Linked DNA regions of Callithrix jacchus. The protein of the gene in region 2 interacts with the protein of the main gene of each other region in a biochemical or structural test. Links are inferred from orthologs where the notes say so. Each region holds a gene or a part of one and is shown on either strand. Other genes may lie near its edges. The genes, in order: ANG and RNH1.

The links.
Region 1: the proteins of RNH1 (region 2) and ANG are reported together in a solved structure, tested with the Homo sapiens proteins (3 studies listed by BioGRID and IntAct, with this or other methods). The link is inferred for Callithrix jacchus from reciprocal best matches to the Homo sapiens genes RNH1 and ANG.

What each region holds. Positions count from the first base shown.
Region 1 is NC_133509.1:55,338,799-55,354,459, forward strand, and holds the start of ANG (angiogenin precursor), read left to right. Parts: upstream 1-6,310; 5' UTR 6,311-6,893; intron 6,894-13,791; exon of another isoform or gene 13,792-13,892; intron 13,893-15,661. UniProt on the Homo sapiens protein: Secreted ribonuclease that can either promote or restrict cell proliferation of target cells, depending on the context. Endocytosed in target cells via its receptor PLXNB2 and translocates to the cytoplasm or nucleus.
Region 2 is NC_133511.1:131,392,011-131,407,186, reverse strand, and holds the end of RNH1 (ribonuclease inhibitor), read right to left. Parts: 5' UTR 14,280-15,176; intron 11,798-14,279; 5' UTR 11,779-11,797; coding exon 11,681-11,778; intron 9,546-11,680; coding exon 9,375-9,545; intron 8,861-9,374; coding exon 8,690-8,860; intron 8,095-8,689; coding exon 7,924-8,094; intron 7,844-7,923; coding exon 7,673-7,843; intron 7,535-7,672; coding exon 7,364-7,534; intron 7,073-7,363; coding exon 6,902-7,072; intron 4,153-6,901; coding exon 3,982-4,152; intron 3,892-3,981; coding exon 3,804-3,891; 3' UTR 3,631-3,803; downstream 1-3,630. Other genes in the region: PTDSS2 (phosphatidylserine synthase 2), read left to right, coding at 1-72, 211-396, 738-900. UniProt on the Homo sapiens protein: Ribonuclease inhibitor which inhibits RNASE1, RNASE2 and angiogenin (ANG). May play a role in redox homeostasis. Required to inhibit the cytotoxic tRNA ribonuclease activity of ANG in the cytoplasm in absence of stress.

The DNA.
Region 1 (15,661 bases), on a different chromosome or scaffold from region 2:
TTATTTTATTTGTTTATTTTTTGAGATGGAGTTTTGCTTTTGTTGCCCAGGCTGGAGTGCAATGGTACAATTTCAACTCACTGCAACTTCCGCCTCCCAGGTTCAAGGAATTCTCTTGCCTTAGCCTCCAAGGTAGCTGGGATTACAGGCATGTGCCACCATGTCCAGGTAATGTTTTGTATTATTAGTAGAGATGGGGTTTTACCATGTTGGCCAAGCTGATCTCGAACTCCTGACCTCTGGTGATCCACCCACCTTGGCCTACCAAAGTGCTGGGATTGCAGGCATGAGCCACCTCACCCAGCCTCACCTGGATAATTTTTAAAATACATTTTTTGTAGAAATGGAACTTTGCTATGTTGGCCAGGCTTGGCGTATATTATTTTATAAATTGTATATACATATGTACAATTGTATGTACTAGCAATGAACTGTCAGAAATTGATATTTTCAAAAGCAAGACACCCTCCCAATATTAAATTGGGACTCCAAAGAGATATTCCCCTAAGGTAAGGCCAAACAAGAAGTAGACCTATATCTGTTCTCTTACTTCTAGTAATTGTTGTGGAGTTCAGCAGATATAAGTTGAGCTTAGCAAAGGAAAACAGAAAATGTGATGAGTTTTTCTGAGAAACTGTGACCACAGGTCAGTATTCTGATTTGCAGCTTGCGTTTACGTATCTTGGAGGTCCAGAGAATGCCTGGCCATGAACGTTGTTTCAGGTCCTCTTGGGCTGATACAGCACCAAGTGCCTGGGAGAAAAAAAGTAATATATATATTTTGAAAGGAAGATAACCTTCATCTTGTCCTCAAAAACTCACTGCATGTAATTTTGCAAAGACATCAAGCAGTACACATTCAAAGATGACTAATTTTATAAGAAAACAAAAGAACATGAATTGACAAAACAACATGGCATAAAATTCAGATATTAGGAGTATCAGTAATATATATTAAAATGATTATAATTACTGTGCTTAAGGAAGTAAAAGACAAGCTGGAAAATATCTGCAAAAAATAGGAATTAAAAAAATTGGCCTAGTAGTTTTGAAAAACAACTAGAACTTCTAGAATGGGAAATTACATTTTAACCAAAATAAATGACCAAAATAAGCAGAGATGTAGAGAGAATTACTGATTAGTGTTTTTTTTTTGTTTTTTTTTTGAGATTGAGTTTCGCTCTGTCACCCAGGCTGCAGTGCAGTAGCATGATCTTGGCTCACTGCAATCTCTGCCTCCTGGGTTCAAGAAATTCTCCTGCCTCAGCCTCCCAAGTAGCTGGGATTACAGGCGGCTAATTTCTGTATTTTTAGTAGAGAGGAGTTCACCATGTTGGCCAGGCTGGTCTTGAACTCATTATCTCTTGATCCACTCGCCTCAGCCTCCCAAGGTGCTGGGATTACAGGCATGAGCCACCATGCCTGGCCACTGATTGGTATTACAGGTAAGAAAACGTTATCCAGAATGCAATATAGAGGAAAAGACAAAGAAATATGGAAGAGAAGTTAAAAGAAATGGAAGACAAGGCATGAAGCACTAATAGATGTTTAATCTCAGTTCCAAAAAGAGAGAAAAAAAAATAGAGTAAAAACAATGTAAGAGGCTGGCTGGTCTGAATGCAGTGGTGTTTACAACTAATTGATCACAACCAGTTACAGATCTCTTTGTTCCTTCCAGTTCCACTGCTTCATTTGACTAGCCTAAAAACAAACAAACAAACAATATAGGAGAAGATAATGGCTACTATTAGCTAAAATGTATCCCCCCTAAATTCATATGTTGAAGCCCTGATCCCTAGTACCTCACAATGTAACTGTATTTGGAGATAGGGCATTTAAATAGGTGATTACGTTAAAATGAGGCCTTCAGGGTTGGTCCTAATCCAACCTGACTAGTGTCCCTATAAGGGAAGTAAATTTGGACACAAAGAGATGCCTTAGGGTGTGGACAACAGAGGGACAGCCATGTGCCGAGGGCAGCCAACTCTAAGTGAAGGAGAGAGGTCTCAGAAGGAACAAAACCTGCCAACACCTTGATCTTGGATTTTTTACCTCCAGCACCGTGAGAAAATGAATTTGTTAAGTCAGCTAGTCTGTAGTATTTTATTACGGCAGCCCTAGCAAACTAATACAATGAGAATTTTCCAGAACTAAAGAAAAACAGCAGTATGTGGATTTAAGAAAACCCATACTCAAAAACTTGACACTGATACCATATTTGGAAAAACATGGGTTTTCCCTATGGTATCATGTACTCCTGTTTTGTTTCTAAATGTCAGGCTTCAATGGGTGAGGCATCTGATTGGTGGAGCCTAGGTCCCATGCCTATTCCCAGCTGCAAGCTGGGAAAGCAAGTGTTCTAGGACAGACTTACTTATAATACATGAAATAGCCACATGTAAGGAGAATTTTTAAAATATGTTGGAAACACACTAATATAACAGACGCCTATAACAGGGCTATTCAAAGCTTATATTCTAGTCTCGGCTGTTTTCTCTGTATTCTTTTGCTTCAAGAGTGCATAACCCGTAGAACTCCTAATTTAATGGATGAGTTATGCAATTTGATCAATTCATCTATCAATTCATGGAACTCTAGACACAAGAGTATTTTGGCTATCACACAATTCACATCAACTGCTCCGTTTTCAACTGCTCCATCTTCATCTTACCTAAATCCTAGCATCACCCCTCTGCCTCTCCAGATACCCTGAAGAGATAGGCTTCTTTTTTTCTGCAAGTATTATCTTGCTTCTTCAAGACACCTTTGAGGGTCCCCTCTCTTTCCTTTTGATTGTGCTTCATATTTACGTTCAGCAGAGTCTCCCTTAGCTGTATCGCTCTCATTCATCCCTTCCTTTCCAGTTCCATAACGATTACCCTTTTGCAGCTTTCTGTTGGAGCGTCTGCACCATGCCAATCAATCACTGGTGTTTCTGACTCTGGTTGCTCCTCCCTTCAATTTATTCCGCAAACTCATCAATGTTTGGTTAATTTCTATTTTCTTCTCACCTACTGCACCAGCCAGTGTTACCTTGAATGCCTCAGTCTTTCCCTCGGACTTTGCCCGTAATTTTATTCTACCAGGGACCACCCTGCTCCTATTTTTGTCTGTCTTAACTTCCCTTTGTAGTGTAGCTCAGGCCAGTGCTCTCTTCAAGACCCCTCCGGATGGCTCAGTTTGTAAGTGTGAGGACCTTGGCATGGCCACTGCTCTTTTACACCTGGCACAGCTACTTTACATTGTTTTCCTTCATGAAAACTAAAGTTCTTTTGTTCCACAAGACTGTGACAGTGACTTCAGGATAAAGATCATATCTGGATCCCTAGTTCTTAGTGCAGAGCCTAGCACAGAATTGGAATGCAGTATTTGTTGAACGAAGGAATGAATTAAACTGAGAATTAATGAATGCCTGCTCGGCGCTGAGACTCGTAGCTGTGAGAAAGGTCTCTGCGTCCAGGGAACTTGGAAGAGGCAGGCAGCTGCTGGTACGAAGTCCTGAGTCAAGCAGGAAACAAAATGCGGATGTCAGCAATTTCAAGTGAGGCCTGTGGTGGGCTCCTTCCTCTGCTGGTTTTCTGTTCTTAATTTTCAGTCTGAAGTGGGGGAGTGGAGAATCTTTCTGTGTGTTAGACTGTGTCGCGTTGGGCAAACTTCTCCACTCTTAGAATAGTACTGGTCGCTGTCACTGGCCTTCACTTTGCACCATCCCCAGCAAAAACACTGAGTCTGCGAACTGAATTCTAGTGGTTGGAAAATGGATTGAAACATCAAGGCTTTGTTTAGTTTCTATACTCAGATATTAGAAGCCTTGCAAATGTTTTCCTTTTCTATGAAAGAAAGAAAGGAAGTTTCTGTGAGGCCCTATAGCTCAGGGGTTAGAGCACTGGTCTTGTAAACCAGGGGTCGCGAGTTCAAATCTCGCTGGGGCCTTATAAGTTTGCTTCCTTGAATCAGGTTTTTCTTTAAAATATTCCCCTGCTCGTCATTCTGAACTAAGCCTGAGGAAATGTGGCAAATTATAGCTTCTTGCTTCAGTCCAGAGCTTCCAAACACCGTTTCCTTTAGGTTCCGGTAGTAACGCTGCTCCGTCGCCTGGAATGCGGCGGAATCCATTACACCAGCGGTGGAAATCGCCATCAGCTTCTGCGACGCCCTGGCTTGAGGACAGGTGGCGAGAGCCCAGCTGGCTGCCGAAACCAGTGCCCCAGGCGGGAAATGGGGGCGACCAGGCGAGAGAATAGCCCCTTAAACTATTCTTACGCCCGGGGTCTGAGTATTTGGAGTGGAGATCAATGTTCCCCTTCCGAAACGGGAAAAGCCAGCGGTGGCTGCTCGGGTTAAGCGTCCGGAAGATAGATGCCCGCTGTGCGGCAAGGTTTCATGTGCCAGTGGGGTTTTGGGAAATTAAGGGCCCGACTTTAGGGGCGAGACTTGGGTCACTAAATTTGATTCTGACGCAGAGAAATGTGGCCTTCCTTTTGAATGGGCTAAAATTATTTTCTCCAAAAGCGAATTCTCACAGAAACATTGGGTTTGCCCACACGTCCTCTATTTCAGGGGTTCCCGATCCTCGGGCCTGTTGTTAGGAACCGGGCCGCACAGCAGGAGGCGAGCTGGGGCGCGACCAGTACCGGTAGCCTGAGCTCCGCCTCCTGCCAGATCAGCTGTGACCTTAGCATCTCACAGGAGCGAACCCTATTGTGAACTGCGCATGCCAGAGTTCGAAACTGCACGCTTCTTAAGAGAATCTAAGTAATGCCTGATGATCTGAGGTGGAATAGTTCATCCCGAGACCATCCCCCAACTCCCCCCCTCCCCAACCACTGTGGGTGGAAAACTGTCTTCCAGGAAACCGGTTTCTGGCGCCAAAAAAGTGGGGACCACTGCTCCATTCCACACCCTCTCCCTCCCGGGTCTATGGACGTGTAAGCAGAAGAGCCGAGATTGGGAGGGGATCGCAGGAAGTGAGGACACCAGCGAGCCCGGGCCTGAGCCCCGAGGCCCGCCCTCTCCGGCGCTCACAGTTGCGCAGTCAGAATTGTGTGCGTCCCACTGCCTCAGCCCCAGTGCTCCGACGCCCAGGTGCCGGTCCCCACCTTACATACAAACACACAGATCCGTGCCCGCGAGGCCTCTGGGTCCCCGTCCAGTGAGGCCAGCAACCCTCGGGCACCCAGAGGATGTGCAGCCTCGGGATACCCAGGTTCCGGGGGCGACTGCTCTGCTTGGGAACCCCTCAGTGGAGCAGGGGAATCCAGCTTTAGAAAGGTTGTCTTCAGAACCTCGGACTCAGGACGTTCTTACAAGCTGGCTTTGCGACGCTGCAGTAATCACTTTTCAGATCTTAAGAGATTTCTTTCTTTCCAGTCTCTGGTTAAGGATGTCTTGAACACGGATTTGTAGAAAACACGTCTCTGCGCTCCCTTCGATAGCTCAGCTGGTAGAGCGGAGGACTGTAGTACTTACTGTGTGGCCATCCTTAGGTCGCTGGTTCGATTCCGGCTCGAAGGAGAAGCTGCTGTTTTGGGGTTAACAGTTGCTCTCGGTTTGTCCAATAAATCTCTGTATGTTGACATGAGGAAATCTCTTTATATCCCTTACCCTGTCCCGAAGGAAACAGCAACGAATTGAGCTGCGTTAGTCATACCTTGAAAAGTCGGATACTTTTCTGTGAGACAGAATGGTCCAACCGTTGCGGGGGAGGCACTATTATCTTAGTGAAGTGTGTTGTATTTTGGCTTCTGGATTATACATAGCGCGCTCCTGTCCTCAGGCTCAGTACCCTACAGCCTTGCAACTGAGCTCCGCTCTGGCCCTCGATCTCCATCTCAGTCCCCTCCAGGTTCCCTCCAGGCTGTAGCGGGGCTTAAATCTTTATCACGGGCTCGGTGAGACTCAAGCATGTGACCTAAAATCTAAAAAGCTGCCTCTTCTTACCCCATCCTGCGTCTGTATCGAGGATAATAAGCGAGGGTAAGGCCAGAGCCACACGTGAAACTTGGTAAAGGTGGAAGGAATAACTAAATAAGGCCAAAGGAAATGCCACAACAGAGGGAACAACAACAAAACCTTCGGAACAGGAGGCGGTCAGTTGCTGGCGGAAAAGAGAAATTCAGCATCATAAGAAGGAACCTCAAGTCACAACGGCTCGTTGGTCTAGGGGTATGATTCTCGCTTTGGGTGCGAGAGGTCCCGGGTTCAAATCCCGGACGAGCCCGAAGTGGTAATGCTTTTCCACACCATTTTGGCAAGTACTGAACAAAGTTTTAGTTGGAGTTGAAACACAAACCGTCTCGCGTTAGGCTGCCCTGCCAAAGAAAGCAGCACTAAATACGTGGCAGATGGACTGCCGACCAGTGTCAAGACCAAGTTTCATGGGTTCCTGGACGCTCAGCCAGGGGTCGTCTCCGAAAGGCCACCTGGCTCTTGGAAACAGAAGCCAGTTTCCCGCCATCTGCTGTCCGTGGAGGCTGTGCCCTCGCGGCTGCTGCCCTCTGGGTTCCAGCTGAGGAAGGGGCACGTGGATCTCAGGTTCGTTTATTGCCTGGGCTGCCCCCCTACGGCCTTGGGGCGGGGGCTTCTGCGGCGCCAGGTCCAAAGCGGATCCAGGAGGGAGGGGCCTCCTCGGAGAAGCGGGGCGCGGTCCCACCTACGCAGAGGCTGACAGGCCGACCCTCCTCTCCTCACGCCACACCCATCTGCGTCCTTGTCCACACAGTCACCCCACGGACGCACGCCAACCCCACCCAGATACAAAGTAGGTTTCCAAAGAACATCTTTGCGTTTTCTTCCCAGCTTCCCAGCATCGAACTAGGGAGGAAGAAGCGGTTGAGAAACAAAACTTCTTTTCACTGTGCTGCCCGTTTCTGCCGACTTGTTCTGAGGCCGAGGTGGGTTCACCCTCCTGCTCTTCCTCCTCTTTGGTAGCTTCATCCCCCCCCCCACTTTGGCGGGGGAGTCCCTTCCTAGTAGAGGCAGTTTGGGTCTCCCCCGGGAGGCATTTGCGGGACTGGGCTGGGAGAGGGAGGAATGGGGAGGGAAGTGAAAGTCCAGTATTTGTGTGAATTCACGACTTTACATTCCCACTCTACTTTTTACTTTGCGCAGCTGGGCCGAGATGCCGCTTCTATTGGTTAGTAGGCTCCGAGGGGGACCTAAGGGAGGCCCTGGGAGGCCTGCACTTGCCACAACTAAGGAAGCTTTGCTTCTTATTCAGGTTAATCACCCGATTTTTGAAGCAGGCTTTCGTTTTTTGCAAGCGTAACTAACATTTGGGGATTGTTGTTTTCTCCTCTGCCTCCCCACCCCTAACCTACCCTCAGCCAGTGTTGTGTAATTCTTAGAGACTTTTGCCAACAGCCTCTTCCTAAGCCTTCCTACTGGAAGGTTGGGATCCTCCTTTTTCTCTTTCTGAGACAGCACATCAAGTGCTAACAGCAGCACATGGGTAAAGCGCAACATCTTTATTAAGGAAGGACAGTAAAAACAATTTCATCACCACTCAGGGGACTAGGGAAATCTCAAATGAGCCAAGACCCTCCCTCGTGACAGTAAGAATCTTAGAGTCAAGTCATAATATATTCACTAGAAACCCAAGTGACATAATTATCTGCAGCACAGGACCACCTTCCAAGAAGCAGCCTCAGGTCTTCAATGAGTTATTAACCACAGAGCCACTAACTAGTTTTGCAGGAGGATAGGTTTATTACATACACTTCAATTCAAGCAATTCTTTTACTGATGAGAAGCAGAGTAAAATATGTTTTGAATTTATGGTAATAGTCAGTGTTGGCTTCCTTTAAACAGCAACTTTTAGTGGCACCTTGAAAGTTAGCTTCGATTTTCTAGAAAGTACTAGTATGGAATATAAAACTTGTGTGGGCCTGGTGCGGTGGCTCACGCCTGTAATCCTAACACTTTGGGAGGCCAAGGTGGGTGGATCAGGAGGTCAGGAGTTTGAGACCAGCCTGGCCAAGATGGTGAAACCCTGTCTTTACTGAAAATACAAAATTAAGATGGGTGCTCCAGCCTGGGTGACAGAGCAAGACTCCTAAAAAAAAAAAGTTGTATGGTGCATGTAAAGGTTCTAGTCCCACAAATGCTATGAGTTTCTTGAGCAATACATGTCTCTTTCTCTGTTCCTCAGTTGCCTCTTCTTTAATATGAGGGTTGGACAGACTCAGAGGTCCCTCCCACTCTTGTTCTATGACTGCATGGAGTGGTGCGATGTTAGTAACAGGACACGAGGCACTCCAGTAATGTGGAGATGAACTATGGTTTGGCAGAGAGGATGGAAAAAACCATCCCAGCAAAAGAGGAATGGCTTTAGCTATTGTTCAAAGCAGATAATCAGGTTATAAGCAGGAAAGAGGAAGAAGTTTGTCAAGTTGTTGCTGGAAGCATTTGCCACTGTGACTCAAATTAAAGTAGATGGATGAAAAAGTGGACCAATGCAGGCCAGTCCAACCCTTCCTTAGAAGTTTTTACTTAATCTGTATTTAAGTATATTCTCTGTGATTATCCGTAAACAGTTATTCTCAGAAGAATGCCCTGAAATACCTGGGAAAGAAGGAATGGGGACAAAGAGGGAATGGGCACAAAGCCTGGAGTTGGCTAAAAAGTAAACTTTTAATTTTTGCCTTTGATGGAAAAACAGGCATGTCAGCAGGACTTTGTCCTCACTCTCTTTCAATCAGTAGTGTTGTCGCTTCCTGGAGCCATGATTCTACTTTTCACGTGGGCTTTTCCTTCTTTTCCTGTGACTTCTGTTATTGAATAAGTTTCATGCTTATAGACATAAAATGTTAGAGTTATGAAGAAATTTAGAAATTATTTGTTCATTCCTCCCATCATCTAATTTTATAATTAATCCTAAGACGGAATGAAACATATATACTCTGTATGAAGAAGGAAAGTGCTCCAATGCTAGAGTCCTTGGAAAGAGTACCCATGCATCCGTGTCTGTGTGTAAGGACATTATGGGCTTGAGGGAGAGAGAGAAAAAAATCTCCAGAAAAGGGGATGACTTTCAAGTTAAAGTGGTCAGAAATTTTTTTTTTTTTTTTTTTTTTGGAGATGGAGTCTCACTCTGTCACCCAGGTTGGAGTGCAGTGATGTGATCTTGGCTCACTGCAACCTCCACCTCCTGGGTTCAAGCTATTCTCCTGCCTCAGCCTCCCTAGTAGTTGGGACTACAGGTGCCTTCCACCACGCCCAGCTAATTTTTGTATATTTAGTACAGATGGGGTTTCACCATTTTGGCCAGGCTGGTCTCGAACTCTCGACTTTGTGTTCTGTCCTCCTTTGCCTCCCAAAGTGCTGGGATTACAGGTATGAGCCACCCTGCCTGGACTGAACATTTTTAAAATAGATTTTTTTTTTTTTTGCAATTGGCAATTCCTTTATATGGATTAAAATTATTGACAAAGATGCAATATTCCTTAATCATAGAATATAATTCCTTGTTGTATTTTAAAACACAAATGACTGTGTGCATAGCTGCATTCTAATGAAATAGTAATTTTTCCCCCAAACCCTACTTTTTGTTTCAATAAAACTTCATTGCGCCAAGTTTAAAAGAAAAACAAAAACTGTCTTTTTGCATTGTGGGCAGATTGTGAATCCTCCAAAAGTTGTCCAGTGAAGGCCCAGAGGCACAGAAGGGAACTGACTATATTCACAGGCTGCTGGTTTCCCCACCCCAGAACTACTGCAGAACTCCAAAATCAGAGGCTACTCTGTGTGAGTTGGTGCTTGAATTGGTGCTTCAAGCCATGGGCACATTGGATTGCATATTGCAGGCGCATTGGATTGTATAATGCAGCAGTCCTTTTCTGGTAAATCACTCAAAAGTGGGTGTTTTCATTGACCAAGTTATCTTAGGCTGTAGGAGTTGGCTGCCGTATCCATCCAGGACTGCTGAGGCAGTTGGGTGTTGCAATGAGCCTGTCAGCTCTCCTCCCTAACAAATGAGTGGTTGATGACTTTTCAGAGCTCAGCTCTTCAAAGTCTGTTGAAAAGGAGATGTGTGATTAATTTAAAATAGTTACCACTCACAGATGCAATGTTTGCTCACAGAAGGAAACTGAGCATTTGAGTACTCTGTCAGATGCAGGGAGGAGACCCACTCTGGGCCCCACTTCCCATTGCTTTTCTTTGTTCCGGAAACACTTCGGACTTTGGCATTTGGCAAAACAAACTTTAGTGTTTACAGTACTGGTCAGAGACATGCTTGCTCTTTCCCAGAAGACTCTAGTACCCTTGAGGCACCAGGGACTGAGGGAAAGCAGTTTAAGGCCATTTGCTTAGTCTTCTTCTCACTGCTAACCTTTTTCTTTTTAGCTCAACATTTGCTTGGGGCTGCAGAGAGAGAGAAAGAAGACAAGGAAATAAGTGAAGCTCAGGCAGGATGGTGCCCCAACAAATCTGAAAAATAAGTGAAGTTCATCCCTCCCTAGGTTCCGCCTGCTGCCCACTTTTCTTTCTCCTCAAATCCTCAGTGCCTTTCAGTTACCAAAACCTGTTCTTAAGGATGAGCTCTAAAGCACATGCCTAAAGATGTGTAAATTACAGACAGCTGTTGAAAGAATTTACCCTCCTAAGGATTTTTGCATTGGGTGAGGACCAATACCTCAAGAATGAAGGCATATCAGTAGGATTCCATAAAAGTAGCGCTTTGCTGGGAACCTGGGAAGCTCTCCGCTCTGCCTGGGAATCATGATGGCCTTATTTTGTAACTACTACCAAACCCAGTTATGTCTGTAAGCCTTTAAGAGAAGCCAGGAGACTTCACATGGGCAAGGTCTCCAAAGTGAGATCAGATGGTGCATCCTAGAAACAAGGGATCACAAACACAGTTTGAGTGTGGGGTGTGGTGATGTGCGCTTGTAATCTCAGCTACTCAGGAGGCTGAGGCAGGAGGATTGCTTGAGCCCAGGAGTTCCAGATGAGCCCTGGCAACATATTGAAACCTCAAAAAACAAGTTTGGGATGAAGTGTTAGTCACTGTTTTAAATTCTCAGAATAGAGAGTCAGTGAGATCAATTAACTAATAAAGGAGTGATGGTTAATGGCCGATTTCTCTGGTTACAGCAAGGTGAAGTAAAAGTAGATCCATCCCAGCCATGTTATGAGAACTCCAGATCAGCTCACACTCTTCTCTGAGCACTTTTGAAGTTCACAGGATGTAGAAGTACTTGCAAATTAGCTCCTTTAGCCTACACAATGAAGCTGCCTTTTTGCTCCTTTTCTGCTCCAGCTCCCTGTGTGAGATCTGTCCCTGCCACACAGAAGGGCTGCTGAGAACATCTAAAGATGCCCATGTCCTTTTCCTTTCTGGGAGAGCAGATGGTCTGGCGTCATGCTGTAGCTCTTGTGTCCAAGACTTGCCTCACCCCAAGAGTACCCTCATGTGGGGAAAGTACTTTACTCCGCCCTACCTCTACATCCTCCCCTGTCAACCTTATGGTCTGTTTCTTTACACTGACTTCCTATGTGTTTTCAGAATCTTACAGAGATTTCAGGAAACAACCTTTTTATTTATTCCAGTTTTTATTGAAGGGTCCTCTCTTAGGGCCCAGGAAGTTGCATAAGAAGGGAATGTGCGGTGGCTCACGCCTGTAATCCCAGCACTTTCGAGGCCGAGGCAGGTGGATCACGAGGTCAAGAGATTGAGACCATATTGGTCAACATGGTGAAACCCCGTCTCTACTAAAAATACAAAAAATCAGCTGGGCATGGTGGCACGTGCCTGTAATCCCAGCTACTCAGGAGGCTGAGGCGGGAGAATTGCCTGAACCCAGGAGGCGGAGGTTGTGGTGAGCCAAGATCGCGCCATTGCACTCCAGCCTGGGTAACAAGAGTGAAACTCCGTCTCAAAAAAAAAAAAAGAAAGAAAAAAAGGAGGGATGTGAATGGCACACAATGAACCCCTTTCCCAATGCTGCTCTCTGGCCTTCATATCTTTCTCCTGCCCTTCATCTTGTTTTCCATTAGGATGAATCCTTTCCCAGGGGCATCACAGACTCTTATGCAAATAGGCTTCCCTCAGGTGGACTCACCAGCTTTTCAAACACGCACTTTGACATACCTGAAACCGAGTCAATGCAGCCACCTTGGGACCCCTACTCCATGCTTGTCTCATTGGGGATATGTACTGGGCACAGTAAATCTGCAAGAAAGAAGTGAGCAACCCCTCCAAGGATTGGATGGGACAGAGGAGAGTCATTTGGGACTCAGAGGTGGTGTTGCTCAAGCTGAGTCTGGAAAGACAGGTCAGTTTTCTCCTTGCATATGAAGGGTTCAAAGTCTGACTCCACCATTCATCTGTTATTTGATCTTGGAATTTCCTCATGAGCAGAACATATTTACGTAATGCCTGGCTCACACAGTCCTAGTTAAAGGTAGTTATGTATGTGAGAGCTTCACAAAACGGGAGATCACACTGAATATTATAATTATTGTGATTTCAAGTGCATTTGTCTTATGGACAGGCAGGCTCTCTTTTCTTGACAGCTTCTCAAGAGCAATCAGACTGAATAATTGGAGGTAGGCAGATGACAACAGAAGATTGAGGATTTTTAAAAAGGTAACACCATCCTAGATCCAACACCACGGTGGGCGAATGCTGGGGGTCTGTGAAACAGTTGGTATCCTGCTGTTGTCTGATATTGGGAACTATAAGATTTATAAAGTTATCCTGGCAACCTTTGGCCCACTGTTTTTATGCAAGCAATGGATCTGAAGCCCTGCTGTGATGGTGGAGATAAGCCATTTTGTAATTACAAGGATCAGAAGATTGAATCTTCAGGGTTAGTCTCTTGTGGACAGGTAAAGATGGAAGAAGCAGCCCAGGAAACATGGAAAGCCTAATTCTGGGGGTTTGAAGCTCAGCAGTTGAGTGGGTACAACCTCAACCACAGGCAGTGTACTAATAGCTGTCACATGACCTTCTCTAGACGTGCTTTCCTGGCTCTATGAAATTGATAGAATAACCTGCTTAGCATCCTTTCATGAAACCAAATGATGTGATATGATAAACAATAAATAGAAAGCACAGTGGAAAAGTATCCTACTGGAAGACCATATCTTACTCTGTGACATCTTCCAAAGCAGTTCTTGGAGTTGGCCCAAGAAGATCAGAGATGCTTTTTTTTTTTTTTTTTTGAGACAGAGTCTTGCTCTGTCACCAGGCTGGAATGCAGTGGCATGATCTTGATTCACTGCAACCTCCACCTCCCGGGTTCAAGTGATTCTCCTGCCTCAGCTTCCTGAGTAGCTGGGACTACAGGTGTGCACCACCATGTCCAGCTAATTTTTGTATTTTTAGCAGAGATGGGGTTTCACCATGTTGGCCAGGATGGTCTTGATCTCTTGACCTTGTGATTCACCCACCTCGGCCTCCGTAAGTACCTGTAAGTACTGGGATTTACAGGTGTCTGCCACTGCGCCTGGCCAGAGATACTATATTACTAATCCAGACTATTATGTGTGAATAGTGAAACCTCAGTCCTGCCATGGACAAGAGTAAGCACCACAGACAGCAGAAAAAGGCAATTTTTAAACAGAAGGCCATGTTTCTCGAACTTTTCCTTCCAGACAAATCTCTAGTCCATTCAGGTTGGTTAATATCTAACCCAATCATGCCCAGGGAAAAGGTGAATGACCCTTCTCATTTGTTCAAGGGCAGTGTCCTGGGTTTTCATGTCCCTGCTAGGATTGGGAGTCCTTAGCTTTATTCTCTCCACCCACTTACTGTGAACGCTATATAATCAGAACCTGGAGAGGCCGCCAGTTTCACACAGCTGGAACCCATCTCAAGGAACAAACAGCTGGAACCCATCTCCTATTGAAGGGAAACTGCCGGATTTTCGTGAGATTCTTCCTCCTGGGTAATCTATTGTTCTATTTGTTTTATCTATTATTTCTAGTCATCCATCCATTTCAGTGAAACCATTTTCCTCCCTTTAAAGCCTCTGGGCTCAAGCTCATGAATTAAAAAGAAAATGGATCAGATTCTAAAGTTTAAAACAAAAACAGTTTCCTTTGGGATGGCCCGTATGTGAATAACGGAAAATTAGTGAGACAGGGAGCAAGTGGAAGTTTAGGAGGGATTTCCAAGTTGTGATAAAATCCCCAAAAGTCTGGGGGAGCCATTTGCCAAAGGGCACCTGGAGTCCTCCCCCATCCTCTGTCCTTCACTGCTGCTACAGGTATTATATGTGGCTTAACAAGAAAGAAACAGAAAGTGTGTTTTTAGCACTGTTTCCTTCTAACTTTCCTGCCAATTTCTTTTTTCAGAAAAGTTTTGGATACCTTTTTTTTTTTTTTAGACAGGGTCTTGCTCTGTCGCCCAGGAGTGCAGTGGCACCATCTTGGCTCACTACAATCTCTGCCTCCCAGGTTCAAGCGATTGCTCTGCCTCAGCCTCCTGAGTAGCTGGGATTACAGGCACATGCCACCATGCCCAGCTAATTTTTTTGTATTTTAGTAGAGATGGGGTTTCACCATGTTGGCCAGGATGGTCTTGATCTCCTGACCTCGTGATTCACCTGCCTTGACCTCCCAAAGTGCTGGTATTACAGCCCTGAGCCACTGTGCCTGGCCTGGATGCTCTTTGAAAACAAAGTGGAACATGTCCCAAGATTAAAAGAAGGCTCACTGGCAGGTTGAAGGGAAGAAAGAAGGAAAAGTGATAAAAGGATTAATATGCCTTTGGTGTCAGGCTCTCACTTTGGGAGATTTTTCCCTGGGATATATAAAAGCGTGAAGCCACATTTATTAAAATGATAACCATAGTTACTCATCATAAACTATCAAGTTAACTTGCTGGTGTGTAAAATTTGATGAATCTTTTGAATACTGAACCTTGCCTGTGGGGGGAGAGAGAGAATATTAATTCTTTTGAAAACTAGCAGATTAGTTTGAGACAGAAGATAAAGTTACTCTAAAGAACAGTTGGGGGCAGCCACAATGGCTCATGCCTATAATCCCAGACTTCTTTTAACTTTAGGATATGTTTCCACTTTGGGAGGCTGAGGCAGGCAGATGACCTGAGGTCAGGAGTTCGAGACCAGCCTGGCCAACATGGTGAAACCCCATCTCTACCAAAAATAAAAAAATTAGCAGAGTGTGGTGACAGGGACCTGTAATCCCAGCTACTTGGGAGGCTGAAGCAGGAGAATTGCCTTAACCTGGGAGGCAGAAGTTGTAGTGAGCCGAGATTGCACCACTGCACTCTAGCCTGGGCAATAGAACAAGAAAACTCCGTCTTTCAAAAACAAAACAAAACAAAAACCATCTGGGACTAATTCCACTGACAAAAAGCTGAGCTGACCGACAGTTACATGTTTGGGTATAGAAGGATATATCTAGAAGGATATGCCTAGAAGGATATGTCTAGAGGACTCCGTACCCTTCGCTTAGGCAGGTTCACGTTTACACCACAAATAATCTGTCTCTTACTGGTTTTCTCCCAATTCCATTTTACCTTGCTTTTGAGAGATTTAGAACTGAATATATTGAGAAAGTTTTGAGTGAGGGAGCAGATGTTAGATATTGGTGGTTTTGGTGTACGCTTGCTGGGATTTGGTTCCTGGATGTCTTAGGGAATCAAGATTACAGTAGGCCCATGCAAAACTTAGTTGACTTGTTGCAAAAT
Region 2 (15,176 bases):
CCTGCGGCTCGTCTTCTTCGTGAACGTGGGTGGCGTGGCCATGCGTGAGATCTACGACTTCATGGATGACCCGTGAGGGCTGCCGAGAGCTGGGTGGAGACGCCCCTGTGGGCGGGGGTGGGGGAACAGAGCTCAGGAGGCTGGGCCTAGGCAAGGCCGCCTGCAGGACCTGTGGGGCTGGGGATGCTGAGCCCGCTGCCGCCCCTGCAGGAAGCCCCACAAGAAGCTGGGCCAGCAGGCCTGGCTGGTGGCAGCCATAACGGCCACGGAGCTGCTCATCGTGGTCAAGTATGACCCCCACACGCTCACCCTGTCCCTGCCCTTCTACATCTCCCAGTGCTGGACCCTCGGCTCCATCCTGGTGCTCACCTGGACCATCTGGCGCTTCTTCCTGCGGTGAGTATGGTGGGTGGTCCCGAAGGAGGGTGGCTCTCTGGGTCTCCTGGCACAGGGGCTGCAGGAGCTGCGTGGTGTTGGTGTCTCACCATCCGTGCCCCGGCCCTCTGGCTGCCTCTGTGAGACTGTCCGGTAGGAGGCACCCGCTTGGGGCTTTCCTGAACCAGCCCTCGGGCCATCACTCTGCATGGAGGGATCCAGGCCACGGCTGCCATCCAGGGCCAGGGTACCCGGCCCCCACCCAGCCTGTCCTGGACCTCCACAGGGACAAGGTGCCAGGTGTCCTTGGGCCCATGGGGGCTAGTGTGGGAGCAGGTGGTGACGCCGCCCCCTGCCCCCAGGGACATTACCTTGAGGTACAAGGAGACCCGGCGGCAGAAGCAGCAGAACAGAGACGACCCGGGCAGCGCCGTCGGCAATGGGGACCAGCACCCACCAGGGCTGGACGAAGACCTGCTGGGGCCCGGGGCGGCAGAGGGCGAGGGAGCACCGGCTCCAAACTGACCTGGGACATGGCTGCTTCACGAGCCTCCCAGAGCCCCGGCCTCCATGGCCACCTCCCATGTGAGTCCCACCGGGAGCCACGTGCCTGGCCTTGCCCTCAAGGTTTTCTTCTCCCTTTCTCCCGTGCGCTTGGCGAGGCTCAGGGTGAGGGTGGAGGCGGCCCCGGCGCAGCCTCTTTTCGTGTGCACGCATGTGTGCGTGTGTGTGCTGTGTGGCCGCCTGTGGCATGCACGTGTGCTCTTGGCTCCGAGGCTTCTCCAGAGCGGGAGCTGGCTGGTGTGGCAAGGGTGTGCTCTGGGACAGCAGGTCCGTCAGAAACCATGTCCTCCCTCCCCCTCTGCCCAGTCAGCCCCGTGGCCTCTGGCCCACCAAGCTCCCTGTCACCCAGCTGTGGCATGGCCCAGGCAGGGACATCTCGGTACCATTTTTGCACTCTGTGGGCCCCAGGTGCACTGAGGCCCAGAGGAGCCTATGCTGGCCCCACATCCACCTCCCAGCAGCACCTGTGGGGCATCGTCCACAAACACTCCGTGGCCGAGAGCAGCGGATCCAGCAGCGATGCTGAGCCATCTCCTCCGAGTCTTCCTTTCACAGACTGCCCTGGAGGACGTGTGGACAGGGGTAGAGGCCACTGAACTGGTTCTTGGGACATCCAGTCAGAGCCGGGGCCCTGCTGCCTCCATGGCTGAGTCGAGGGTCATCTTCATGAGCAGAGAGAACCAATAAAGTGATGGAAGTCCGAGGCTTCAGCCTTCCCCCCAGCTCCCCGTGTCCTGCTTTGGGGTCTGGTGCAGCCCCCCCCAGCCTGCCCTCATGCCCACTGCCCACTTGGGGAAAACCACACAAAGGACGGGAGGCACCAGGGTCAGCCTCAGCCTGAGCAAGGATTTAGCGCCCGCCTGGCCTCCCAGAGCAGAGCAGGTGGGGGCACAGCTGGGGATCCAAGAGGGTCCAGGTCCACCCACCCCCTGCTGCATTCATTCCTTGCTGGGAGGCTGAGCTGGTGACCACTGGCCAGTGGACACAGGATTTCTGGGGAGGGGCACTGCCTTCTCAGGCCAGTTTTTTTGAGATGGAGTCTTGTCCTGTCTCCCAAACTGTAATGTGGTGGTGTGATCTCCACATACTGCAACTTGTGCCTCCCGGGTTCAAGCAATTCTCCTGCCTCAACCTCCCAAGTACCTGGGAGTACAGGTACCCCGCCACTATGCCTGGCTAATTTTACTATTTTTAGTAGAGATGGGGCTCACCAGCTTGGCCAGGCTGGTCTTGAATTCCCAACCACAGGTGACCCACCCGCCTTGGCCTCTCAAAGTGCTGGGATCTGGCCAGACCACTATTTTTAAAACTTTACCATGAAAACTTGCAAACACAAGTGGGGAGAAAAGGGGTCGCCGTGGGCATGGGGTATGGGGTGTGGGTCGCAGGTTACAGGGTCTCCTGGGTGCTGTTCTTCACTGTGGGCATGGGGTAGGGGGTGTCAGTGGTAGGTTGGACACAGCCTGGGGGGTCCCGGGAGCCAGCTGCACCCTCACCCCCTGCTCTTCTTCGGGCCCCAGGCTTCAAAGGGCTTTACTTTTACTGCTTTTGGGGAAAGTCTCAACCCGTTAAGTCATGAGGCTGGAATGAGGAGACAAGAGCAGCTTCCCCGGTTCAGCAGGATGGTGCCCTGTAGCCACTGAGCCTCACACCCAGCAAGTCCCTTCCCTACGGTCACTCACACCTTTGGCCCCACCGTGCCTGTCCACCTCTGCAGGATACACAGGGCCTCAGCACTCCACTCTGTGCGGGTGGTAGCTCGAACCCCCCAGGAGGAACAGGTGGCAGTTTTCACCTGGTCTTCCCACTGCGGGGGCCCCTCCCCTCCCTCACACCTCATGAGTCCCCACACCTCCCCTTCACTCCATGCTCTGCATCCCTGCTCACACTGAGCCATGTGTCTGGGTGGGTAGAGGTGGTGCCTTCCTCAGTCACTGTCTGCTCTTCCCTAAGGGGTGGGCAGGGGGCTGTGATCAGTCCTGTGTTCTGGCACCCGGCCCCTGGGAGCCTTCCTGGCAGCTCCTCAGGCCCAGACAGCACCCACAGGCTCCGGTTCCTCACACCATCAGCCACTCCAGGCTCACGCTGGGTGTCTCTTACCCCAGGCAGGCCTGGCACCAGCCATTTCCCCAAAGAGCCTTGGTCCTCTGATTAGGAAGCTAAGAGTCTGGGTTACTTTGTTAATTTTTTTTTGAGCTGGCTGGAGTGCAGTGGTGCAATCTCAGCTCGAGGTAACCTCCACCTCCCAGGTTCAAGCGATTCAGGCACCTGCCAGCACATCTGGCTAATGTTTGTATTTTTAGTAAAGATGGGGTTTCACCATGTTGGCCCAGCTGGTCTCAAGCTCCCGACCTCAAGTGAACTGCCCACCCCAGCCTACTTCCCAAAGTGCTGGGATCACAGGCGTGAGCCACCACGCCCAGCCTCAGGTCACTGAAAAGGGCTTTATTGGGCCAGGCCAATGGCTGACACCTGTAATGCCCACACTTCAGGAGGCCAAGACCAAGCACCAGCCTGGGCGACATGTCAAGAGAGAAGCTCATACCAAGTGGCGTGGTGCACCCAATACCAGTATCCTCAGACATCCCAGGAAGGACAGGAGCCCAATAGCAGCGCCCTCAGAGACCCCAGGAAGAACAGGAGCCTGACACCAGCACCCTCGCAGAGACCCCAGGAAGAAAGAGCCCCTCCTGCCAAGAAAGTGTTTTAATGATTGTAAAGTATCCAAAATACACTAGCAGAAATAAGCTGATCTGAGCATTTCTCTTCAAATCTAGGAAACGCAGGGTGAGAGCCCAGGGGTGCCTCGAGGCCAGGCTGTCCAGGGAGAGCGGGTCTCAGGAGCCTGGCGGGCAGGAAGCGGCTTAGGAGATGATCCTCAGGGATGACTTCTCCTTCTCCAGGGCCTGCAGCTGGCGGTCCATCTCCAAAGACCAGTAGATGTCGTACAGGCTGCACACAGGCCAGAAGGGAGGAGTAGGCAGGTGTCCTCACCCAGCCCGCCCCCCGGACCCCCGCCCCCCGCCCCGCACAGGCACGTACACCAGCTGCTCCAGGTGGCAGGACGGCTGCCGCAGGCTCTCCAGCAGCATCTGGATGCCTTCGTCCCCCATGCAGTTGTTGCTAAGGTCCAGCTCGCGCAGGCTGTCGTTGGCCAACAGGGTCTTGGCGAGGCTGAGGCAGCCAACGTCAGTCACATCGCACTCCCCCAGCCTGGGTAGAGCAGGGTGGGGGTCAGGTGTGTGGGTAACCCCCCATATAGGCCCCGAGGAATGAGAGCTAAGCAGAACCCTGGCACAGTTAGGGCTTGAGGAATATCTCACTGTACAGTGTCACTACTCAGCTATTTCCTTTTATATAATCCTTTACATAATCATATATTAGTTTATAGAATTAGGGCTTGAAGAATCCCTTGATATAATCCCCTATATGTAATCATATAATAGTTGATAGTATGAGGAGTGCCTAAAGAATATTTCCCTACATATATATATATATATATATATATATATAATTATATCTTAGTTCATGGTCAGAGGAATGCCTGGAGTGGACACAGTACAGAGCATGAATTAAGGAATAAGCAGCTCATAATCGGAGGAATGCCTAGAGCAGATATGGCGCAGAGCATGATTTAAGGGAAAACAGTTATGCCAGGACAAGAACCCATGGCCCAGGCGGCAGCGTTCAGTATCGCAAAGATACCCGCTGTGTGGCAGGCTTGGGGCGAGAGCCACTGCTCCTGGTAAAGGCGTTGTAGGACCTTGCTCCAGTTCTTGGGGAAGGCCGCCCTCAGACCGGCACTCCACCTTGGTGACTGTGAACTCTATCAGCTCTTGCTACTGTGCTGCTCGAAAAGCATCTTCCCATAGAACCCACTGGAAGCTGCCAGCAGGTGGCGGTAACCCTCTGTGGCCCTGGGCAGGTGCCCACCACAGACAAGGCCAGCACGCAGCCCCTTGGCAGGGCACAGCAGACTGACTCCCTGAGCAACTCTCTCCTCCCACGAGGGGCAGAAAGGACCAGAGGAAGACAATGTCCACCCACAGAGCCACGTCCACCCCCCGCTCCCCACCTCCTCAACACTGCCTGGCCAAGTGGGGCTAAGAGGAGAAGCCAGCCACGGAGACCGAGGGGCAGCTGTGGGGAAACGAGGGTGTGGAGGGTTCTGAGGAAGGCACAGTGGACAACAGACTTCAGGCTCCCGAGAGAGACTAGGGTACAGGCCAGACAAAAGACAGTGGAGAAAACCCAGCACTCACTCCCCAGGGTGCAGCCGCATCCGGCCGGAGCCAGGCCAAGGAGCTGTGCTGGGCCTCTACAAAGTGGGAGCCAGGGAAGCTGCAGGACCCCCACCCTGGCAGTGGCTCAGGCAGACAGGCCTGCAGTGACCAGGACCCAGGGTTCCATGCCCCACCTGGAAGGCCCACAGGGTCCTGGCAGCCAGGATGGCGTCCTGAGAGCCCCCCCCCCCCCGCCCCAGGAAACACAGCCACGACTCGCCTGCCCAGCCCGCTGCCCAGGGCTCCCGGGCCTCACTCTGCACTTGGTGCCCGGCCACCCATGGAAAGCCCCTGGCGAGAGGCACAGGTGAAGCAGCACACAAAAGACAAAACACTGATGGTGGAAATTCAGTAGACTGGTTGAGGAACAAGAACATCTCCCAGAAATAAGAACAAAACCTCGAAGAGACAGAACATTTGGAGAACACAATTAGCGGGCCAGTCCAGGAGACCTCACGGGCACACCGGGGCATGGTGGCTCACACCTGTAATCCCTGCACTTTGGGGGCCGAGGCGGGTGGATCACCTGAGGTCGGGAGTTCGAGACCAGCCTGAGCAATATGGTGAAACCCCATTTCTACTAAAAATACGAAAATCAGCTGGGAGGCTGAGGAAGGAAAGTTGCTTAAACCCAGGCGGAGGTTGCAGTGAGATCGCACCACTGCACTCCAGCCTGAGCAACAAGAGTGAAACTCTCAAAAAAAAAATGAGAGGAAAAATCACCAAAGGCGTGATACTTAGGACAGCCAAGTATCCAGCACAATAAAAGAACCAAGACACACATCAAGGCAAAGCACATGGAACCCCAAACACAATGGGCAAAGACATCTTTAAAAGCTGCCAATGAGAAAAAGCACATCGTGCACACAAGATCATGATGGCTCACACCTGGCATCCTAGCACTTTGGGAGGCCAAGGCAGGTGGATCACCTGAGGTCAGAAATTTGAGACCAGCCTGAGCAACATGGTGAAAGCCCCATTATTCAGGCATGGTGATGCACCCCTGTCATCCCAGCTACTCGGGAGGCTTGAGCCCGGGAAGCAGAGGTTGCTATGAGCAGAGATCACGCCACTACACTCCAGCCTGGGTGACAAGACTCCATCTCAAAAAAAAAAAAAAAAAAATCAGAACAGCAAAGTCCTCTCTGGAAGCCAGAAAATGATGTAGCATCACCTACCAATTCTACAGGAACATCTGTAGCCCAGAATTCTATACCCAGCTGAATTTGTAACCCAGAATTCTATACCCAGCTGAATGACCCAAGGGCAGAGCAGATGCAGGCCTCCAATAATTACCTTCTGCAGAACCTGTTCTTAGGAAGCTGCAAGACAACGTGCTTTAACAAAGGGAGGAAACCTGGGAAGACATCCTGACCCTGGGTTCCTGCATGGCAGGAAGGTGGGCGGGACTTCCAGGAAAATGGACCACAGGGTGGCCAGGGCACGCTGGAGCCCCAAAAGCTATTAGGCTTCATGAACCAAGACCTCTGTCTCTGACTCTGATCAAAGTTGCAAGAAGCCAGAATGGTGCCGCCATGCTGCCTTCCCCAGCACATGAACACCCAGGTTCTTACAAACGTGTTCTCACATGGATGCTCGTGCTCTCACACACACACACACACACACACACACACACACGACCTCCCAAATATGCATATTCATGTCCCTCACACACTCACCAGAGTGACCGCATCACAGAGCCAGGCTGGCCCAAGCCCTGGCACAGCTCCTGCACACCTGCATCTCCCAGCCTGTTTTCACTTATCTGCAGCTCCAGAAGAAATTTATTCTGGGCCAACACTGAACTGAAGTGGGAGCAGCAGGCAGCTGTCAAGCCGCAGTACTTCACCCTGTGGACACGGACAAGGACTGAGGCCTGGAAGGGGCCCAGGCTGGCCCACAGCTGCGACCGGCCCTTCCCCTAAAGGCCCCACATTGACCTGAGCAGAAACATCCGAGAGCCTCCCAGCTTGTGGGCACCTGTGGCTGGTCCTCAGCCCCAAGCAGTGTCCCCACCAAACCACGGGCTGCTCCTGGGCCGTGCATTCTGAAGGTCAGAGCTGAAACCAGCACCTCCCCTGGCCTTGGTCACCCTGACCCTCTCTTGGGTGACAGGGTCCCATCCCGCCAGCCACACTCACCACAGCGACTCCAGCTGGCAGCCAGGCTCCAGCAGGCTCTCACAAAGCACCTGGGCACCCTCGTCCCCAAGCTTGTTGCCAGCCAGGCTGAGCTCCTTCAGGCTGTCCTTGGCCCTGAGGACACGGCCCAGGTCCTCGCAGCTCTTGGCGGTGAGGCCACACTCCCAGATCCTGTGGGAGACAGACCCCCCCAGGGACTTTCCTCAGCACTGTGGCATGGCCTGAGGCAAGTCCAGGTGTCGGGGGAGGGCTCCAAGGATGGCCTGAGCCCCTGACCCTCTGGGAGGAGGCCTCAGGGAGGTGACTTACCATAGGGTCCTGAGCCTGGAACTGGGGTGCAGCAGCCCCGGGCACAGCTCCGCGATGCCCATGTCGCCCAGGTTGTTGTGGCCCAGGGCCAGCTCCCGCAGGGAGGCCTTGGAGGCCAAGATGCTGCACAAGTCCCTGCAGTTGTCCGAGGTGACACCACACCTCTCCAGCCTGGGGTGCAGGTCACGTGTGAGGCACACCGGACACCCCCGCCCACACCCCGCACCCCCCGCCCAAGGCCCAGTGCCTACTTGAGCGTCTCCAGCTGGCAGGGGGACTCCTTCAGGCCCTGGCACAGCACACGGATGCCGGCCTCATCGAAGTCGTTGTTGCCCACCGTGAGCTCCTTGAAGTCCGGCTTGGCCCTGAGCACCGAGGCCAGGGGCTCACAGCTGGCAGACGAGAGCCTGCAGAACTCCAGCCTGCGAGGCAGACCAAGCTCAGCACCACACAGGAATGTGTGCCAGCCGAGGGCGTGATGCCAGGGAGTGTGGGGGTGCTGGCGTCTCTTCCCCCCAGCCTCCTGCCTGGGCACCAGCTGGGAGTGCTGAGGGCCCCCTAGAGACTCATCCAAGGTGGCTGGTCAGGGACAGACAGCCAGAGGCTCAGGCCTCTGTGGTCACTGGCATTCCTTCTGGAAACCCCTCACTAACCAACGGACCCACCTCAGACTCTGGAACCCAACCAGGCCCAAGAGAAAGAAGCCAGCCTCTGGAGGGCCGGGCCACCTTCCATGCCGGCTATGTTCAACTCAGTGGCCAGGCCCCCCACACACCGGGGTGCCCCCCACACACTGGGGTGCTGAGTGCAGCCTGACTCAAGGCCACACATCTGTTCCCACTGTCAGGTCCCAGGACAGCTGTTCCTTGCCAAGGGCAACTGAGGGGGTGGGAGGGTGACGACGGAGCCCCCCAAAGACCCTGTGACCTGAGTCCACTCATCACGGCTCCTCTCCTGGCAGGGGCTGCTAGGGGACAGGCAGCAGGGAGCACAGCCGCAGGAAGGGCACACACTCACTGCAGCTTTTCCACGTGGCACTGGGGGTCCAGGAGTCCCTCGCAGAGCAGCTGCAGGCCTGCATCCTTCAAGGCGTTGCAGGTGAGGTTCAGCTCTTGCAGGGTGGGCAGGGAGCGCAGTGAGCCAGACAGGACCCTGCAGCCGTCCACTGTCAGTTTGCAGCACTCGAAGCTGGAACAGGCCTGGCTGTCAGCAGGGCTCCCCGGAGCCAGCTACCGCCCACTTCACGGGCCCGGAGCCCGGAGCCCAGAGCCCAGAGTGGTGCCCTACAAACGGCAGGCCTATACCTACTCCTTCCCTGGACGGAATCTGGGGTCTCCAGGCCGGCCGGGAGCAGGGGGCACACGTGTGGCTCAGCCCAAGGAGGCCTTGTCTGCAGAAACCCCTTCAGCATGGGTCCAGGAGAGCCAGCCAGAGGCTCAGGCCTCCGTGGACACCAGCATTCCGGTGATGCCGGAAGCCCGGGGATTGCAGGCAGGGGCAGACCTTGGGTGCAGGGGCTGGGACAAGGCAGGAGGGGCCCTGTCCCACCACTGCGAGGCCACTAGGCCTGTCTGCCTCTGGCTGATGTCGGAAGTGCCCAATGCCACCACCTGCCCGCCCACGACCCCTGGTGGCTCCGTCCCCTGCTGCCGGGCTACCAAACAGGCCGCACGGGGCAGAGGTGGTGCCAGCCCCACCTCACCTCAGCTTCTGGATCTTGCAGGAGGAGCTCTGCAGGGCCTGGAGGATGCGGTGCACGCCAGCATCGCCCAGCCCGTTGCTGCGCAGGTTGAGCTCCGTCAGCACAGGGTTGGCCTGGAGTGCAGAGCTGATGCCCTCACAGTGGGCCTCCGTGAGGCTGCAGTCATCCAGCCTGCGGCCAAAACCTAGGGTCAGGCGGGCCACGGCTGGCGCCGGCCTCAGACCCCACCGCCCCCCACGCGCAGGGACGGCCATCAGTGGGCCCAGAAGACAGCGAGGCGAGTCACAAGGGACATTGTAGAAACGAAACGTGAGCCGAACGTTCTCAGATGTTGCACGCGGGCAGACGTGCCGGGCCTAACACTAGCCTCTGGGTCTGTCTCCAGGGAAAAAGCAAACCTGAGTTAACAGCTGTGGGAGCTGCCCGGACGGGACGCGGCTCGCTGTTTAGACACAGGAGCAAATAAACAGTAACACCAGCTTCTACACTCAGGTGCTTTGTGATTAATGAGTAACTAAATAAATACAGTTGATATTTAAGTAACTGAGGAAAACCAGGCCTTGCTCACAGAAGAATGACAATTGATAAATGTGGAGAAAAAGGCACTTTGGGAGGCCGAGGCAGGCGGACTACGAGGTCAGGACTTTGAGACCAGCCTGACCAACAAGGTGACACCCCATCTCTACGAAAAATACAAAAATTAGCCAGGCGTGGTGGTGGGCACCTATAATCCCAGCTACTAGGGAGGCTGAGGCAGGAGGATCTCTTGAACCCAGGAGGCGGAGGTTGCAGTGAGCCGAGATCACGCCACTGCACTCCAGCCTGGGTGACAGCGAGATTCCATCTGAAAAAAAAATTGAGGAGAAAAGAAAGAAGTTACAGAAGAATTCAGGCCAGCTGCAGTGGCTCACGCCTGTAATCCCAGCACTTTGGGAGGCCGAGGCAGGCAGATCATCTGAGGTCAGGAGTTCTAGATCAGCCTGGCCAACATGGTGAAACCTCATCTCTACCAAAAATACAGAAAGGAGCCAGGCATGGTGGTGCGCGCCTGCAGTCCCAGCTACTCGGGAGGCTGAGGCAGGAGAATCGCTTGAACCCAGGAGGTGGATGTTGTGGTGACCCGAGGTCAAGCCACTGTGCTCCATTCTGGGTGACAGAGCAAGACCCTGTCTCAAAAAAAAAAAAGAAAGAAAAGGAAAAAAAGTACAAAATCCTAACGAGACAGATCTCACAGGAACCACCGTCCGGCAGGAGCCTCTGATGCATGCCGAACATGGCAGGCAGGTGGAACGCAGACATAGGAGTGAGCAGGGCCTCAGTAGCCCCACCAGCCAGCACCTCCGCCACCAGAACTCGGGAGGCTGAGGCAGGAGGATCACTTGAGCCCAGGAGGGCGAGGCTGCAGTGAGCCATGATTGAGCCACTCCAGCCTGAGTGACAGAGCGAGGCCCTGTCCCTAAACGTAAGAATTTAAAGTATCTGTCGAAGGCACTGATCAGTCACAGAAGGAAAAGCAGTGACGTCGCAGGGGAGGGCGTCAGCATGGGCCCGGCAGGCGCCCGAGTTCTTCCCAAAAGTGCGTGGGTTCAACCATGGGAAACCATCAGACACCCCAACAGAGGACACCCCACGTCTGCCTGTCCAGACACTCGGACCACCAAGAACCCGGAGAGATGAGGGGACGGTCACAGTTGGGAGAGGGCCATGGAGACAGAGGACTGGAAGAGGAAAAGGGCGGGGGAGAGGAGACTGCTTGGAGGTGCTGGGCTGGCGCCATCGTCCCCGTACACACAGGACCGCCTCACCAGGGGAGAGCCGTGCAATCCTCCCAACTCCTCTGCAAGCCTGACACGACTTCAAATAACCAGTGAGAGGAAAGATGAGGCCCACGCAGGCACTTGTTCCTGCTGTGAAGCCGCTGGGTTTGTGAGGACCTTGAGGGCCGAGGACTCCCAGCCCCAAGCTAGGCAGGGACAGCCAGTGCCCACGGATGCCCACTAAGGGGACCCAAGCTGTGTCCTGCCCCTTGTGTTTCCAGGGGAGGGAGAGGGCCCAGGACGCTGGAGCCAGAGACCCACTGGCTGGTGCCCGCCCACCTCAGCCCGCTGCATGAGCCCAGAATGATTTTACATTCCTAAATCATTGAAAAGCAATACAAGAATCACATTTCACACGTGGAGGCTGCATAGAATTCACACTGCCCATCTATTAAACAAGGTGTTCCACAGAAGCACACCTTCAGAGGAGCTGCCACCCGCAAACCTGCCCCTGCCAGTGCCCCAAAGCCACCCCAAGGGCAAGTGTACCTGACCGTGTGGCACTGCTGGAGCAGGGGGAGCAGCTTGGCCCATCTACCACTCAGCTCTTCACACTGGATGTCCAGGCACTGCGTGTCCACACTCATGGCGGAGGTCGGGAGTAGCCTGGGTTAGGGGCAGAGGGAAGAGAACGTCTTGGCGGAATCCCCTCAGTTTTGCCAGCTGGGAGTCTGCAAATTCTGCCACAAGGCTGATGCTTCAGGAGGAGCCACAGCCTCTCCCGGGCCAGCACTTCCTCTTCAGGAGCTTCCCACCTTTGTCCAGGAGCAGGGGCCAGGACCCACCCCTGGAAAGGCCACCATGGGCAGCAGAGCTTGGGGACACAGATGCCAGCCCAGCCTCTGTGGGCACCTCCTCCTGCCCCACAGAGGCAGGGACAGCAGCAGCCCAGGAAGCCTGGCCTCTAATTTGCCTGGGCAGGGACAGGGTAGGGATGGGTGGTCGGAGACCCGGGCAGGGGAGCAACGGGGCCTGTGCCTCACTCAGGGGAAGTGGACTGGGCGGGCCAGGCAGGCTGCCCATAGAGCCCAAGACCTCCCAGGATGCCAGGATCCTGGACCCCAGCACCTCCCACACAACCAGGCTCCATGGCCCTGAAACAGCTGGCAGGAGGGGCACCAGCCAGTGCCCGCACAGGGCGGAGCAGGTGGGGTAGGCACTTGGGGTGTCAGCTTTCATGTCCCCTTCTGGGGCTAGGGACTCTTCACCAGGCCAGGGCACGTCCCCCGCCCCACAGCACGCCCCCCGCCCCACAGCATGCCAGCCTACAGAGGCCTGGCTGTCAGGCTCGCCCAGGACTGGCACAGCTGCCATACCCTGAAACCTCCTGAGGGACAGGCACAGAGCCGGAATGAATGCAAGACCGGCTGCCCTGAGAGCACAGCTCAGGACCCACCTGCCTGCCAGGGCCTGGGGAACGAAGTGGTCAGGCTGAGACAGCTACCCCAAAGCCTGGTAGGTGGATACATTCCCAGAGCACCTGCCAAGCACTGGCCTGGGGGCCTCAGCAGGGCGGGAACCTGGAGAGGAGGGGGACCCTGGAGGTAGCAGTCCTGATGCCATGCTGGGGGGAGGGGCGGGCACAGTAGGGAGAGGGCTCTCATCCCAGAGCCACAGAAAGCTGGCAGGCCACACTCCAGGAATGACAAATCCCCAGCTGCCCTTCACAAAGACAGCCGACAGTACAGCTCAGAGGCCGCTGCTGAAACCCTAAGCTTCCTGGTGCCTGGCACGCCCTCCCAGGGATGGTTCTGAGGCAGCCAGTCCACTCTGGCTGAATGGGGGGAAGAGGCCCCTGGTACCCACTAGGAGGAAAGAGCAGGGCTGTGTCTGGGTCCACATGCCTCAGCGCCGGGCCTGCAAGGGTGCTGTGGCAAAGGGCAGTGACACCCCACCGCCCCAAGCATGTGAGCAAACCCAACCAGGGCGTGGTCACCCAAACCCTGACTCCAGAATTGAGTCACTGGGAGGCACTGTGGGCGGAAAAGGGGGAAGCAGAGCCTTGGGGGGGCTCCCCAGGCTGCACGCGCTCCCTGAATCAGCCTGACACTCCTGTGTCCTCTGCACCCAGAGGAAGCTGACCCCAAGGTGTCTTCCTCCTGAGAAAGCTTGGTGGGGGCCCAGAGCGGCCAGCACTCCCATGACCACCTGAGACGAGGGCTGTGGGAGGGGCTCAGTCCCCATCACTCAGGCTTGACCAGACCGTGCTGTATCCCCAGGGCTGCACCCTGGAGCCAGGAAGGCACATCTGAACCTGTGTAGGACACTGAGCCCACTGAAGACCCCATGAGCATGTGGGTGTGCCCACCCTTCTGTTTCTGGAGGAGGCCCCCACCCCCCTATTCAGCCAGGGCTAAAAGCACATTCAGGCACCACCGCCGCCAGCTGGCAGCCTGCTATGGTCGAGGCGAGAGTCTGACCCACGGCCCTGACGGTCCCTTATCCAGAGACCAGACCTTCTCAACCTTATGGGAGGTCTCCGCAGCGCCCACGGCCTGAGCCCCACCCTGGGGAGCCACATAGGAGGGAGCTGTCTGGAGGTTCTGATGTGACCAGGTCGTGGACATGGCAACCACCGGGGGCGCAGGGCCCCCCCCCAGAAGACCCGGGCCACGCTCAGGTGACACGCAAAGGGTCCCGATCCTGTGACCCCTGCCCCCACGCCGCGTCGGGTCCCTGAACCCACTAGTTCTGGACACCCTGCCCCGTACTAAAAGGCTGGGACGGGACCTCAGAAAAATACGCAAGGGTTGTCCCCTCCCGCGCCGGCTCAGCCCAGAACCCTCACCCGGCCAGCCCCGGGCTCCTTCCGCACAGGCGGGGGCGGGCGGAGCCTCCAGGCGAGGGCGGGTCGGGAGTCCCCTGGGGCCACACCCACTTACCCTCTTGCTCAGCTCAGCCCCCGGGCTCGTCCCACTTCCCACCCGTTTGCCACAGTCTGGCCCCCACCAGCCTTTCCATTTAACCTGCACCCGCCTTCAGTCCCTCCAGCTTCCGCAGCCCCGACCACCCAGGAGGGACGCGCCCTGCCCCTTCCCACAACCAGGCCCGATTCCAGAAATTCCCCGAACTCAGAAATAAAGCAAACCTGAGACAGAAACAGCCGGTAACGTGTGGCTGAGGCGAAATGCACAAGGCTGTGAGGAGGGTTTTCGGAGAGCGCTGGGCCGCCCTGAAAACTCTGTGAGCATCAGGCAATAGTTCATGCCTGAGCTCGGGAAACGTTCAAAAATCTTGTTTGGTCCCGCCTTTCTGGACCAAACCAATGTATCTTAACTGTGTTTCGTGGATGTCTCACATCTCCAAAATGCATAAAACCACGCTGCATGAAAAGTGAGCGCAGCACTTATTAAAAAAAAAAGAAACCGGGGCCGGGCGCGGTGGCTCACGCCTGTAATCCCAGCACTTTGGGAGGCCGAGGCGGGTGGATCACGAGGTCAAGAGATCGAGACCATCCTGGTCAACAAGGTGAAACCCCGTCTCTACTCAAAATACAAAAATTAGCTGGGCATGGTGGTGCGTGCCTGTAGTCCCAGCTACTCGGGAGGCTGAGGCAGGAGTATTGCTTGAACCCAAAAGGCGGAGGTTGCGGTGAGCCGAGATCGCGCCATTGCACTCCAGCCTGGGTAAGAGCGACACTCCGACTCAAAAATAAAAAAAAACACCGAGCTGCCCCAACCACCGACACGTTCTCATGGTCTCCTGAGAGCTATGTCACCAGCCACACTCATCTGGCTCACAATAAATCTCTTCAAACATTTTACCCTTTTTTTTTGAGACGAAGTTTCCCTCGTTACCCAGGCTGAGTGCAATGGCGAGATCCAGGCTCACCGCCACCTCCACCTTCTGGGTTCAAGCAATTCTCCTGCCTCAGCCTCCCCAGTAGCTGGGACTACAGGCGTTTGCCATCACGCCCAGCTAATTTTTGTATTTTTAGTAGAGACGGGGTTTCACCATGTTGGCCAGGCTGGTGTTGAACTCCTGA